Oryctolagus cuniculus: one gene and its partners. The protein of the gene in region 3 binds, or shares a complex with, the protein of the main gene of each other region. Links are inferred from orthologs where the notes say so. Each region holds a gene or a part of one and is shown on either strand. Other genes may lie near its edges. The genes, in order: USP46, USP12 and WDR20.

The links.
Region 1: the proteins of WDR20 (region 3) and USP46 are in contact, whole or in part, in a crystal structure (PDB 6JLQ), measured with the Homo sapiens proteins. The link is inferred for Oryctolagus cuniculus from reciprocal best matches to the Homo sapiens genes WDR20 and USP46. Residues at the interface, in NP_653175.2 of Homo sapiens: Asn41, Ser42, Gly44, Arg151, Lys259, Tyr261, Phe262, Gly263, Glu282, Asp283, Asp284, Leu285, His301, Lys304, Ser305, Trp306, Gln374, Asp375, Thr376, Leu509, Arg516, Met517, His533, Glu534, Arg535; in NP_073743.2 of Homo sapiens: Asn205, Thr206, Ser207, Thr209, His210, Arg213, Arg273, Val275, Phe276, Pro277, Glu279, Leu280, Arg281, Phe283, Asp293, Met295, Gln338, Glu342, Tyr344, Thr347, Ser348.
Region 2: the proteins of WDR20 (region 3) and USP12 are in contact, whole or in part, in a crystal structure (PDB 5K1C), measured with the Homo sapiens proteins. The link is inferred for Oryctolagus cuniculus from reciprocal best matches to the Homo sapiens genes WDR20 and USP12. Residues at the interface, in NP_653175.2 of Homo sapiens: Asn41, Ser42, Gly44, Ser45, Arg151, Ser170, Lys259, Ser260, Tyr261, Phe262, Gly263, Glu282, Asp283, Asp284, Leu285, His301, Lys304, Ser305, Trp306, Gln374, Asp375, Thr376, Arg516, Met517, His533, Glu534, Arg535; in NP_872294.2 of Homo sapiens: Glu207, Asn209, Thr210, Ser211, Thr213, His214, Arg217, Arg277, Val279, Phe280, Pro281, Leu282, Glu283, Leu284, Arg285, Phe287, Asp297, Met299, Gln342, Glu345, Tyr348, Thr351, Ser352.

What each region holds. Positions count from the first base shown.
Region 1 is NC_091439.1:110,974,531-110,978,267, forward strand, and holds the start of USP46 (ubiquitin carboxyl-terminal hydrolase 46), read left to right. Parts: upstream 1-866; 5' UTR 867-1,017; coding exon 1,018-1,053; intron 1,054-3,737. UniProt on the Homo sapiens protein: Deubiquitinating enzyme that plays a role in behavior, possibly by regulating GABA action. May act by mediating the deubiquitination of GAD1/GAD67.
Region 2 is NC_091440.1:87,334,948-87,338,688, forward strand, and holds the start of USP12 (ubiquitin carboxyl-terminal hydrolase 12), read left to right. Parts: upstream 1-1,402; 5' UTR 1,403-1,848; coding exon 1,849-1,896; exon of another isoform or gene 1,897-3,741. UniProt on the Homo sapiens protein: Deubiquitinating enzyme that plays various roles in the regulation of the immune response and inflammation.
Region 3 is NC_091451.1:45,449,570-45,453,210, forward strand, and holds part of WDR20 (WD repeat-containing protein 20), read left to right. Parts: intron 1-668; coding exon of another isoform or gene 669-720; intron 721-2,453; coding exon 2,454-2,636; intron 2,637-3,641. UniProt on the Homo sapiens protein: Regulator of deubiquitinating complexes. Activates deubiquitinating activity of complexes containing USP12. Anchors at the base of the ubiquitin-contacting loop of USP12 and remotely modulates the catalytic center of the enzyme.

The DNA of each region.
Region 1 (3,737 bases), on a different chromosome or scaffold from region 3:
ACCTCACCCGCATAACCCCACGTCTTCCGATGAGCTCATCCTTGGTTGGATAAAAGTTGTCCTCCATTATACTAATTTCTCTTCTAATTCCATTTTCCATTTGCATACATTGCTTTCGGAATCTGTCACGCGCTCCACTCACGGGATGGTAGCCCTGTGTGTAGAAGTTGCTCACGTCTGGAGACCACACCTGCCAAGCTGTGCGCTGAGAGCCACAAGTTACGACCCCAGAGGTGGACCGGGTGCGCCGACAGCGCCCACCTCGAAACCTAAGCGCTGGGTCTCCCTGGCAGGGGTGCGTCTTCCTTGAGGAACTGGCAAAGTCCTGTTCTGGCTGCTTCCACCCCTGCACGGTCCCTGCCCCCTGCCCCCTGCCCGGCACCGGACTCCTCCTTGGTACCTGCACCACCTGAGCGCACGCATCCTGGCCCTGCCCGCCCTTCCCGGGCGCAAGGCCCGGCCGTGCTGGCCACGGCTTTCTGACCACTGTCCTGTCCTGACCCCATTTTCCACCCTGGGTCCCCGCCGGTGTCGTGCGACAGGAGAAAGGAAAAGTTGGACGTGGTCACTTTGACCCCACCCCCGGCCCGGCCCCAGCTCGGAACCCCGGGGCTGCGGGGGCGGGAGGGAGACCCGCGACCAGCAGGCGGCCTAGGGCGTCCCCAGCGCCGCGCGCTGCCCGGGCACACAGGCGGGGCCCGCGCTCCGCGAGGCCTGGCCGCGCGCTCCGGCCCGCAGCGAGCGCGCCGGGGGCCCCCCGCGCGAGGCGGGGGAGGCGGCGGCGGGCGGGGCGCGCGGCGGCGGCGCGGACCCACGCGCTCGGGCCGCCCCTCCTCCCGCGCGCGCCCCGCCCCCGCCGCCGCCTCCCGGCCCCCGCCCTCCCGGCCTCCTCTCCCGGCCGAGCTGGAAGCCGGACCCAGGCCGCCGGGCCCGGCCTCGCCGCGCGCGCCCGCCATGGCCCGTGCCGTTCTCCCCTGGTAAAGATGGCGGTGCGCGCTCGCCGCCACCTTTAGACCCATGACTGTCCGCAACATCGCCTCCATCTGTAATATGGTGAGTGCCGCCGCGCCGGGCCACTAAGGGGACCCGAGCCGCGCGCACGCCGGCGCCGGGGCGCGGGCCAGGGCGCGGGGCCCCGCCGGAAGTTCCCGGCCGGGCCGGGCGCGCGGCCGAAGCCACCCCCACCCTGGGACCTGTGAGACCGGGGACCCGGGGCCGCACCGCCGTGCCCCCACCTCGGGTTGCGGTGGAAGCGTCGGGGGCCGGGAGGCAGCGACGCCCCGGGGCAGGGCTGCGGGCGAGGAAGCCCCGCTGTGCCCCCGCGCCGCCCCCTCTGGGTCCGAGTTCAGCCCTTGGGCTTCGCCTGAATCCACTTTGCAGCGGCAGTCGGTGGTGGTCTGCAGAAACCTGCCGTGTGATGGAGCTGTGGAAAAAGTGCGGTTGGGGAAGTGAACTTCAACCTGGCCTGGGAAGGCGCCGCGGTGGTGGGGTCTCATGCCGCGGTTTCCCCGTCTCTGCAGAGGGGGGCGGGGACCTGGACGGGCAGGAGGGCTCCGGGCTGCCCTGCCTGATCCCCCGCGGGCCACCGGCTGCTGGCTGGCGTGCACCCGGCCAGGGGCTCTGCAGTGGGCCCTGACGGGGGTCTGGGGCCGTGGCCTGGTGGGGACTGTAGTTTCTGTTTCTCCCATTGCTTTCTGCAGCAGCAGCTCCCACTGAGTCCCCAGAGCCAGCCCTGCCCGTCTTCCCCTTGTCATAGCCCTGGGGAGCCCGGCTTGGGGTCAGGATGAGTGTGTGTCTGCATGCTCCTGCCCCTTGCCTGGCCTTCCCCGGCTGCAACGCGTGCTCCTGGGGTGCCACTTTGAGGCCGGGACCCCGAGGAGGCTGGGGGTGAGGTGTGCCGGCCGCCCCTCCTCCATCTCGGGCTCTTCTCTGCTTCTGCCCCACATTCTGTTGCAAGAGCCACACCGGCAGAGGAGCACGGAGAAGCCTTGTGTTAGCTCAGGGGCGGCTTCGGCTCTTAGCTCCGTGGGACTTGGCCACACTTGGCCGGGTGAAGGCTGGGGCGTCCCGGAGTGACAGCGGCACAGGTGTTGACATGGGGTGGGCTCCGTGGGGGGCTCCTGTCTCCTCTCCCTTCCTCTCTTTTTCCACGAGGAAGCGGGTTTCCTGCTTTTTGTCGAGTGGCGTGAACGCAGCTTGGTGCCGCTGGAGGAGATGTTTTCTCCTCGCTTCCCCTCGGCTGCTGCCAGTCCTGAAGCCACAGCCGCCGAATGCCTGCCTTCGGGCCTGCCGAGTAGCCAGGCTGGCCCTGAAACCCTGGTGCTGTTGACACCGCTCAGTGTGGAAGCAGCTTGGGGGACGCCGGCCTCCAGCTGCACCGCGGGCTTCTAGCGCACCTGGCTCCCGTGAAACACGCCAGGGAGAGGAGCCGCAGGAGGACAGGACAGGCAGGGGGGTGGCAGGCCCTTGCTGTGTCCGCGAGTGGGACCCCCGTGTGTGCAGCCCTGAAAGCCTGGCGGACCGAGGAGCTGCGCGCAGGCCAGGGGAGTTTTCTGTTCGCACGCCGGTCCTGTGTGTGGGGCGCGTGAGGCAGTTTCCGCTCTCAAGGCCTTGCCACTGCTGCTTCTAACTTAACGCCTCCCGGTCTTGGGGACAAGTTGCTCTTCTTTCCTTATCTTCAGTAAAGGGAGGATACTGGCTCTTACCTCATCCGGACAGTCGTGGCCGGCGCCTCACTGGGGTGCTGGGGCCGCTAGCAGTTGAGGTCAGCACCATCCTTCTCGGACAGGCCTGCGGTGGTTTTGGGCACTGGGGAGATGATGCATGGATACTGACAGCCCACCTGCTGCTTGGTGCAGGCCAGGGGAGGGCGGTGTGTGCAGAGGCTGCTCGGGGACCCCGCCCCTCCCAGCTGGCCTCCCACACATACCTGGAGTGGGCTGGGGATGAGGGGACTGCTGTGTTGCCACCCCATCAGACCTAAATGTTCTTTACACCCTCTTTAGAGGCTTTCCTCAGTGTGAACTGTTTCCAGCGCTGTCTTCTGGCTGGCTCCTCCCAGGGCTCAGCTTCTCTCTGGGGGCTCGAACTGGCCCTGCCCCTCCCAGGTCCACACACTCCCAGCTGTTTGAGTCGTTGTAGTAAGAGCCCGGGGGATTGCATTTTCATTTTTTATTTATTTCTTTTTAAAGCAATTTTTATTTTTTTAAAATATTTATTTGAGAGGCAGAGAGATGGATCTTCCATCCACTAGTTCACTCCCTAGAGGGTTGCAGTGGCCACAGCTGGGCTGATTTGAAGCCGGGACTGGGTCTCCTATATGGGCGCAGGGGTGCAATCAATTGGGCCATCCTCTGCTGCTTTCCCAGGCGATTAGCAGGAAGCTAGATCGGACAGAAGTGGAGCAGCTGGGACTTGAACTGGTGCCCGCATGCTATGCTGGTGCTGCAGGTGGAGGCCTAACCCACTATGCCACAGCGCTGGCCCCTATTTCTTTTTTTTTTTTTCTAAGATTTACTTATTTATTATTAAAAGAGTAAACACAGAGAGAGGGAGGGACAGAGAGAGATTTTTCCACCCTGTGGTTTACTTAAATGGCTGCAAGGCTGGGTACCAGGAACTCCATCTATGTCCCTGATGTGGGTGCAGGGGCCCAAGCACTTCTGTTGCTTTTCCCAGGTGCATTAGCAGGGAGCTGGATCAGAAGCAGAGCAGCAGGGACACACTGTAGCCTGCAG
Region 2 (3,741 bases), on a different chromosome or scaffold from region 3:
CCAGTGCCAGGCCCAGTTGTTTCAGTTTTACAAAGAGCTTTCTTGTGCCTAGCAAAAGTTGACTTTGTGTACAGTTGACTCTTGGGGGTTCTTCTGAATACGTAAGTTACAGAATATACCCAGATAGCTTCAGGACCCAAGCAAGGAAATGAGCTGGGGCTGAAGCTCGTCTATTTGGTCAGCACAGTGCTTTTTGTTTGAGCAGATAAGCCATTGCGAGGCTCTGCAGTTAGGAACCATGACATTCATTGGGAATTCAGCTGTCTCCTACATGGCGTCCAGGGGCTGGGAGATGCTGGGAGGGGTAGAGGACTTGCCTCTTGGCTTCCCTCCCTAGGCTTGACATGAATGCACAGAGGTGAAAACACGGCCTTAGCCACTAACCCGGCATCAAGGGCAGGAGGGAGAGTGCCTAGCCTCGCAGAAGGCAGGCACGGGAGAACGAGGCTGGCTACCTTGGCACGCGGCTGCACCCACTCGGCATTTCTTCACTCCCAAGCAAGCTTATAACAGAATCACTATGGAAACAGCATTCACGTAGCAGAAATCCATTCTTCATCCAAACGTAGCTCGCTTTGTTTTGGTGTTCGAAGGCTTTGAATCTATACCTAATTTTAGAGGTCGGCCTGAATTCGGGCCTTTAGCCCTGCTGAAATGCTGGAACCCCAGAAAAGCACCCCGTCACTAGTTCAGCTGTCAAACAATCACATCCAAAGCTACCCGACCCACCTGAAGTCCTTTCTTAAATAAAAGAAAACAAAACTGAGCTGCCAGACACGAAGAGCAGGGTGCATGTACGAATTTTTAGAAAAGTAGCATAAAAAAGGAGCTATCATCCCACTAACTAACCCTGCTTAAGTATGAATCTCTGACATTTTGCTGGGCTCACTTTCCTTGTTCCCGTGACACCATCATCACTGTCGGGCTGAGACCCTCTCCACTTCGCAGCTCAATTTGCCGATCATTAGAAACATTCTAAATTTACAGCGACAGGTTGACAAGCAGGCAGGCAGGTAGGGCTCGCTCCCTTCCCCTCCCCCACTACTTACCCTTCCTTTTAATTCAAACATACTGTGTTTATTGCCTCGCTTTTAAGTAGCTAGCCTTTTTGTAAGCTACAGCGTTTGCACCCAAATTCTGAACAAAGAAACAAACCTAGCGCTTGAGACTAGCCCCGGGATAGCTTCACTGTACAAGAGCAGCTTTTCTCTCTCTCCACACACAATTTTCCGAATCCTGCTCCAGGATTCGCCCAGCGGCAGCCGCCGCGGCTCCACCCGGTTCAGCGCCCGCAGCCCGGGCTCTGCGGCCCTCAGGCTCTAGGACCGCGCGGGACGCGGGCAGGAGGCGCGCCCGCCCTGGGCTCCGCCCCCGGCCGCGCGCCGGGAGGGGCTGGGCCCGAGTCCCCGGGCTCGCGCTCCGGCGCCGGGGCCGCGCGCGGGGCGGTCCGAGCGCGAGCGGGGCGGTGCCGCGGGGCCGCGCAGCTGCCGGGCATTAGGGCCTCGGCGGAGCCCGCTCCCCAGCGCACTGGGCGGGGTGTGCGGCGGCAGGCTTCGCGGGCAGGCGCGGGCCCCGAGGCAGCGGCTGCGCCCTGCGCCGGGGCGGAGCCGGGGGCGGGCGGGCGGCCGGCAGGCGGGGGCTGGGGCCCGAGGCAGGGAGTGCCTGAGCGCCGGCGGCGACGACGGCAGCGGCGGCCCAGCAGGCTCGGTGCGTGGGTCTGCGGCGGCTCGGGGGTCCGCCCGCGGGCTGCGGTGCGAGCGGGCGGCCCGGCTTCCCTCCTCCCCCGCCCGCCGCCGCCGCCGCTGCTGCCGCCGCCGCTGTGATTGGGTAGAAGATGGCGCTGGGCGGATGGAAATCCTAATGACAGTCTCCAAATTCGCCTCCATCTGTACCATGGTAGGTGCGGCGCGGGCGGCCCGGGACTCCTCGGACGGGCGGACGGCCCTGCTCGCCGTCCCTCAGCTCCGCTGGCGGGGGCCTGGCGCGGGGGCGGGCGGCCCGGGCGGGGGCGGTTGGACGGCGCGCGGGCGGGGAGCGCGGGCGATTAGCGGCCCCCGCGGCCGAGGAGGCGCCCCGCGGGCCGGGCTGCGAGGGGCGATCGCCGTGCTGGACGTGGCCAGGGGGCTGGGGGCGGCCACCGGCCTTGGCGAGCCCGGGCCGCCCTGCTCCGGTCTCTGCTGGGCGCAGCCGGCCTGTGGGAGCGCGGCGGCGGGCTGGGGGTCGCAGGGGCAGGGCCGCGGGGCCGCGCCGTCTCCGTTTCCGTGTGGCCGGGCGTCGGCGGCGGGGGCGGGGGTCTGCGGGCAGGAAGGAAGGGTCTCGGCCGGCCGGGCTGGGCAGGCTCGCTGCTGCCCAGGCGAGGACGGAAGTCAAGTGTAGGTTTGCTTCTGGTGGCTGTGGCCAGGCAGAAGTGCGACCCCGTGCCAGGGGCGCCGTGAGTGTGAGTGTAGGTGGAAACTTTAAGTAAGTGGCGTGGCCGTTCTCTGCGTTTTCTGCTCGCCCAGAGGAACCCCGTTTCCAGCGTGTGTCCAGGTGTCAGGCTTGGCCCCGGCATCCACTTTAATCTCGGAAAAGCAGCTTTCCTCTCATTTGCTCACTTTAATCCCCCAGGCGCATCTGTGTGCAGCGGCCAGCGTCCCGTTGCGGGGCTGACTGCAAGGGCGGTGGTATTTGTTTCATTAGGGCCTTTTGAACAGACTTCAAGGGAGAAGTGCGGATGCGCCTTCGGAGTCTCCAGTTAAGCTTTCTGAGTGCATGTAGAACTTGGTGTTTCTGTGCCTGGCCCGAAGGACCACATTTTTCCACATGATGGGGCAACTTCCTTTCATTAGCTCCTTAAGAGCTTATATGTCGGGATCGTAATTTATGAGTCATCGCCCAAAAAAGTTATTCTTTCCTACGTGAGCCTGGTGGTTATGGTACTGAAGACTTGTGAAGTCTTTTGTTCCTGGTCTCACGAGCTCTTTTTCACGCGTCGCAATTCCTAAGAGATCCCGGGGCAGCCTTGCACCTAATGTCTCCCTACTTTGAGCAGTTAGGTCGCAGAGATGCTTGTAAGAGGCAGTTTCTCTCCTGGGTGTTGAGGAATAATTTCAAAATATGGCCGAAATCAGGTGGGCTTAAAATCTACCCTGGACAAGGAAGAAGTCATGTGGAAGAATGAGTCATTGAAGAATCCCTTTCCCCAAACGGGTGTTTGTTCTTTCTCACGATTTACATTTGAGGAACGCATTGGTGAAGGGACTCTATTAAAATGATTTCCAAGGTTGGTGTGAGCTCGTTATTTGTAGACACGCCAGTTATTATCTGTCGATTTCAAAGTGAATGTGATAATTAAGTCTTTGACAGTGATAATTTTGCCAAATGGCTGAGTGTGCACCTCGTGGGGTCATAGTTCATTGTCAAAGGCTAGGGTTTCAGGATTGGGTGATCCTCTTTACTGTTCATTCATGTGCTAAAAACTGTGCTGAGTGCTGGGGATCCCATAGTTTCTGCTTTCATGGTGTTTACCTTCTAGTCGAGGGAGGCAGACACTATTCAAGTCTCTCTGTCTCTGTGTGTGTGTGTGTGTGTGTGTGTATTTGCTGAAGTCACATCAGGAAAACGAGGCACAGAGCTTTGCAAGGTCATACATTATGTCAGTGGCATTCTGATCTGAAGAATGTCAGACTGTGAGGCTCTTTCTAGGGTTTCCACCCAGTACATTAATTGCAGATTGGTGCACTTATTGTTGGCAAAATGTCC
Region 3 (3,641 bases):
TTTTTTTTTTTTTTTTTTTGACAGGCAGAGTTAGACAGTGAGAGAGAGAGAGAGAGAGAGAGAGAAAGGTCTTCCTTCCGTTGGTTCACCTCCCAAATGGCTGCTACAGCCGGCGCGCAGTACCAATCCAAGCCAAGAGCCAGGTGCTTCTCCTGGTCTCCCATGCAGGTGCAGGGCCCAAGCACTTGGGCCATCCTCCGCTGCCCTCCCGGGCCACAGCAGAGAGCTGGACTAGAAGAGGAGCAACCGGGACAGAACCAGTGCCCCGACCGGGACTAGAACCCGGGGTGCCGGCACCACAGGCGGAGGATTAGCCTAGTGAGCTGCGGCGTTGGCCTAATCGTTCATATTTCAAATTGGATTTTTATGCTCTAGCTGCCAGTTGTATCGTATTTTATGTTTTTAGCTCCTTTTTACATGACCTGGTATCTTCTTTGTTCTGAGATGTCTTGCTTATGTTGTTCAGCTAGCCTAGAATCCCCTCTCCCTGCCTTACGCTCAAGGAGGAGCCACTGCCGCGGGCAGCCTGTGCATGGTTCATGGCTCCTCTGCTTCAGCCTTCACCCTGCCCAGGCCCAAAGTCAGGACGCCCCTTTGTTTTGTGTCATACTTTATATTACACTTTTCACGGCTCTTTCATGTATATATTCTCTTATTTCATCCTCCAGACAATCCCATGAGGTTGGTAGAACAGAGATTCTCATCTCCATTTTGACTGAGGTGAGGCTGGGAGAGTGTCCGCATGGCGTGTAACCTCATTCCTGTGCCCTGGGCCAAGTGCTCCGGGCTTGAGTTTGCTCAGAGATGCTTGTAATCTTGAGGTCCTTTCTTCTACTCAGTATGTATATTTGTTTGAAAATCAACTATTAGAACACTTGGCACAATGTCACAGGCCTCTTTGGAAGAAAGAAATCTTCAGAACTTCATGGAGGGGTGGTCATAGAGAACTAGAGGGTGAACCCCACCGTGGCACCCAGGGCAGAGAGGATGTCTTGGCATAATCACTGATGGGAACTGTCTCCACGCGTGGTCTTCACACGCAAGCAGGAGGGGGTGGGTTCCCCTTACTTAACAGTAGCAGCCCAAAATGTTCATTAGTCATGAGGAAGGGAATCTTTCTTGCTCAAAGGAGGGGACATGTTGAAAATAATTTTTATTTTTTAAGTTGCAGAGCCATGTGTTTTTTTATTTTTTATTTACTCATTTTAAAGGATTTATTTATTTGAAAGGCAGAGCAACAGAGAAAGAGACATGGATGGAGGGGAGGGGGCAGAGAGAGAGAGAATCTTCCATCCATTGGTTCACTCTCAAAATGACCACAACAGCTAGAGCTGGGCCAGGCCAAAGCCAGAACCAGGAGCTTCATTCGAGTCTCCCATGTGGGTGGCAGGGGCCCAAGCACTTGAGCCATCACCTGCTCCCCTCAGGGTGTTCATTCGCAGGAAGTGGGGGTCAGGTGTGGAGCCAGGACTCAAACCCAGTACTTCAGTACAGGATGCAGGTATCCCAAACAGCAAGGTAACTGCTGCGCCAAGTGCCCATCCCCCCAGATTATTTTTAACCCAAGTCAGAAATTACTTACTTTTGACTTTGGGGTGTGCGGGTATGTGTTTCTCCCCATTCCCTTTATGGGCAAACAGAACTGGGTTTCAAATGCCAGTTACTAAATAGGTATTGCCGACAGTGGCCAAGTTAACTTCTCCAAATGTATTTGCTCACTGGTAAATTGGGGGAAATACTGTCTGCACTGACAGATTACTGTGAAGATTAAATGTGCGTGCAAAGCACTTGAGTGTAGGCTCAGTAAGTGGAAGTTCCCTGAAAGCTAACACAGAAGAGGGATTGTGGCCCGGAGAGGGAACCGCCTGTGTACGGTTGGCCCAGCAGTGGTCGTCAGACTCACCTGGAAGGCTTTTAAACTGCAGCTTGTTGGGCCCAGCCCGTAGTTTCTGAGACACAGGGTCTGTGGTGCGGCTTGAGAATCTGCTTCCCAAGTCTCCAGGTGGTGCTGCTCTGCTGCTGCTGGTCTGGCGGCCACACTGGAACACTGGGCTGCAGGTAGCTCACCCGTGGGCGTGTAGGTGTCACAGCCGTGTCTGAGAGCGGACCTGTTCCGTGTAGAGTTCCTCTGTTAGGAAAGTGCTTGGAATGCATCCTGAAAATACCGAATGTAGTATCTGAGATTCCCCGACCCCTAAAACCAGAAGTCTTTGTCACAGGAGATAAGCTGTGATTTTTAACAGTTATAAACATAGTATAGCAACATCTAATTGGCTAAGGTATGTGAAAGTGTTTTTGTAATATGTGAGACAAATGTTAAGTCATAACTGAAATTTTTTAAATAACATTGTTTTTAAGATTGAACATCATAATGGAGTATAAAATAGTATAACTTAGATTTCTCCTATGTCAATGTACTGTTTACCGTATGTATTTTTCTCTTTCTCCTCCAGGCTGCTGACTTGAGTAAACCAATAGATAAAAGGATATACAAAGGAACACAGCCTACTTGTCATGACTTCAACCACCTCACAGCCACAGCAGAAAGTGTCTCTCTCCTAGTGGGCTTTTCCGCAGGCCAAGTCCAGCTTATAGACCCAATCAAAAAAGAAACTAGCAAACTATTTAATGAGGAAGTAAGTAGCACCCTGTCTCAGCTGTTAAAGAATCCCTTTAAGAATTTATACATTCTTACCAAGGATAGTGGACCTTGTTTTGTGCTTCAAGCTAAGCCCATGTTTTATTTGCTCGGCTGTCCTGTGTAGTGTTAGCCCCAGTTTCAATGTGGTGGATTAGTAGTGACCTCTGCCTGTTCTCCCTTGGGGTGACTGTTCCATGCATTTTTATGGAGTGTGTGCAGGTATCCATACTGGGGATTTAAAACCCTTCTGTAACAGGTAGAAATGATTATAACTTGATACTCGTAATTTAATTAAAACTATAGAATTCCCAGTGTTCACGTCACCAGAATAATTCCGTGCAGACTAAGAATCTGACAATTTCTATAGGCTGCTGCGGTTGCAGCTGAAGCTTTCTTGTGGTTGTGCACGCGCGGTTCGACAGGCATTTGACTAAGCAGCAGTTCTCTAACTCTGGGAAATATTCGCTGTAAAATCACCTTGGGCATAGTTAGAAATCCTGGCACTTAAAACTGGATCACATGACATAGATTTTGCCAGCTGTAGTATGTGTTAAGGTTTCCAGTTTCTTCGGTTTCATTCTGGAAGGAACCTGAGATAGCCATCAGTTCAGGAACATGTCAGAACTTAAACGCGCCAGACAGAATTTGCCAAAGGGATTAGTATTTGCAACAGTGATTGGAGCGGCTTTTCTCCCCAGCTGTCGCCATCACATATTTGATGTTCCTGCTCCTCTCTCAGTACAACTTCCCTGCGATTGGGAAGGATAAAGCGGGTTTCCTGAATGAGAAGCCCTGGATTCTAGTCTCTCCTGTGACTTCGGCCCTCATATGCATGGGTCGGGTTCTATGAGACCCCGTTCAGAAAGAACAGTGGTTTTGAACTGTTGCATGGCTTTAACGTCATTAAGGTAGAACAGAAGCACATCGTAGAGTCTGGTTTTTAAGAAACAACCTTTTTTGGGGAAGAATATCAAACTTGTCAAACTCAGTTAAGACTGAT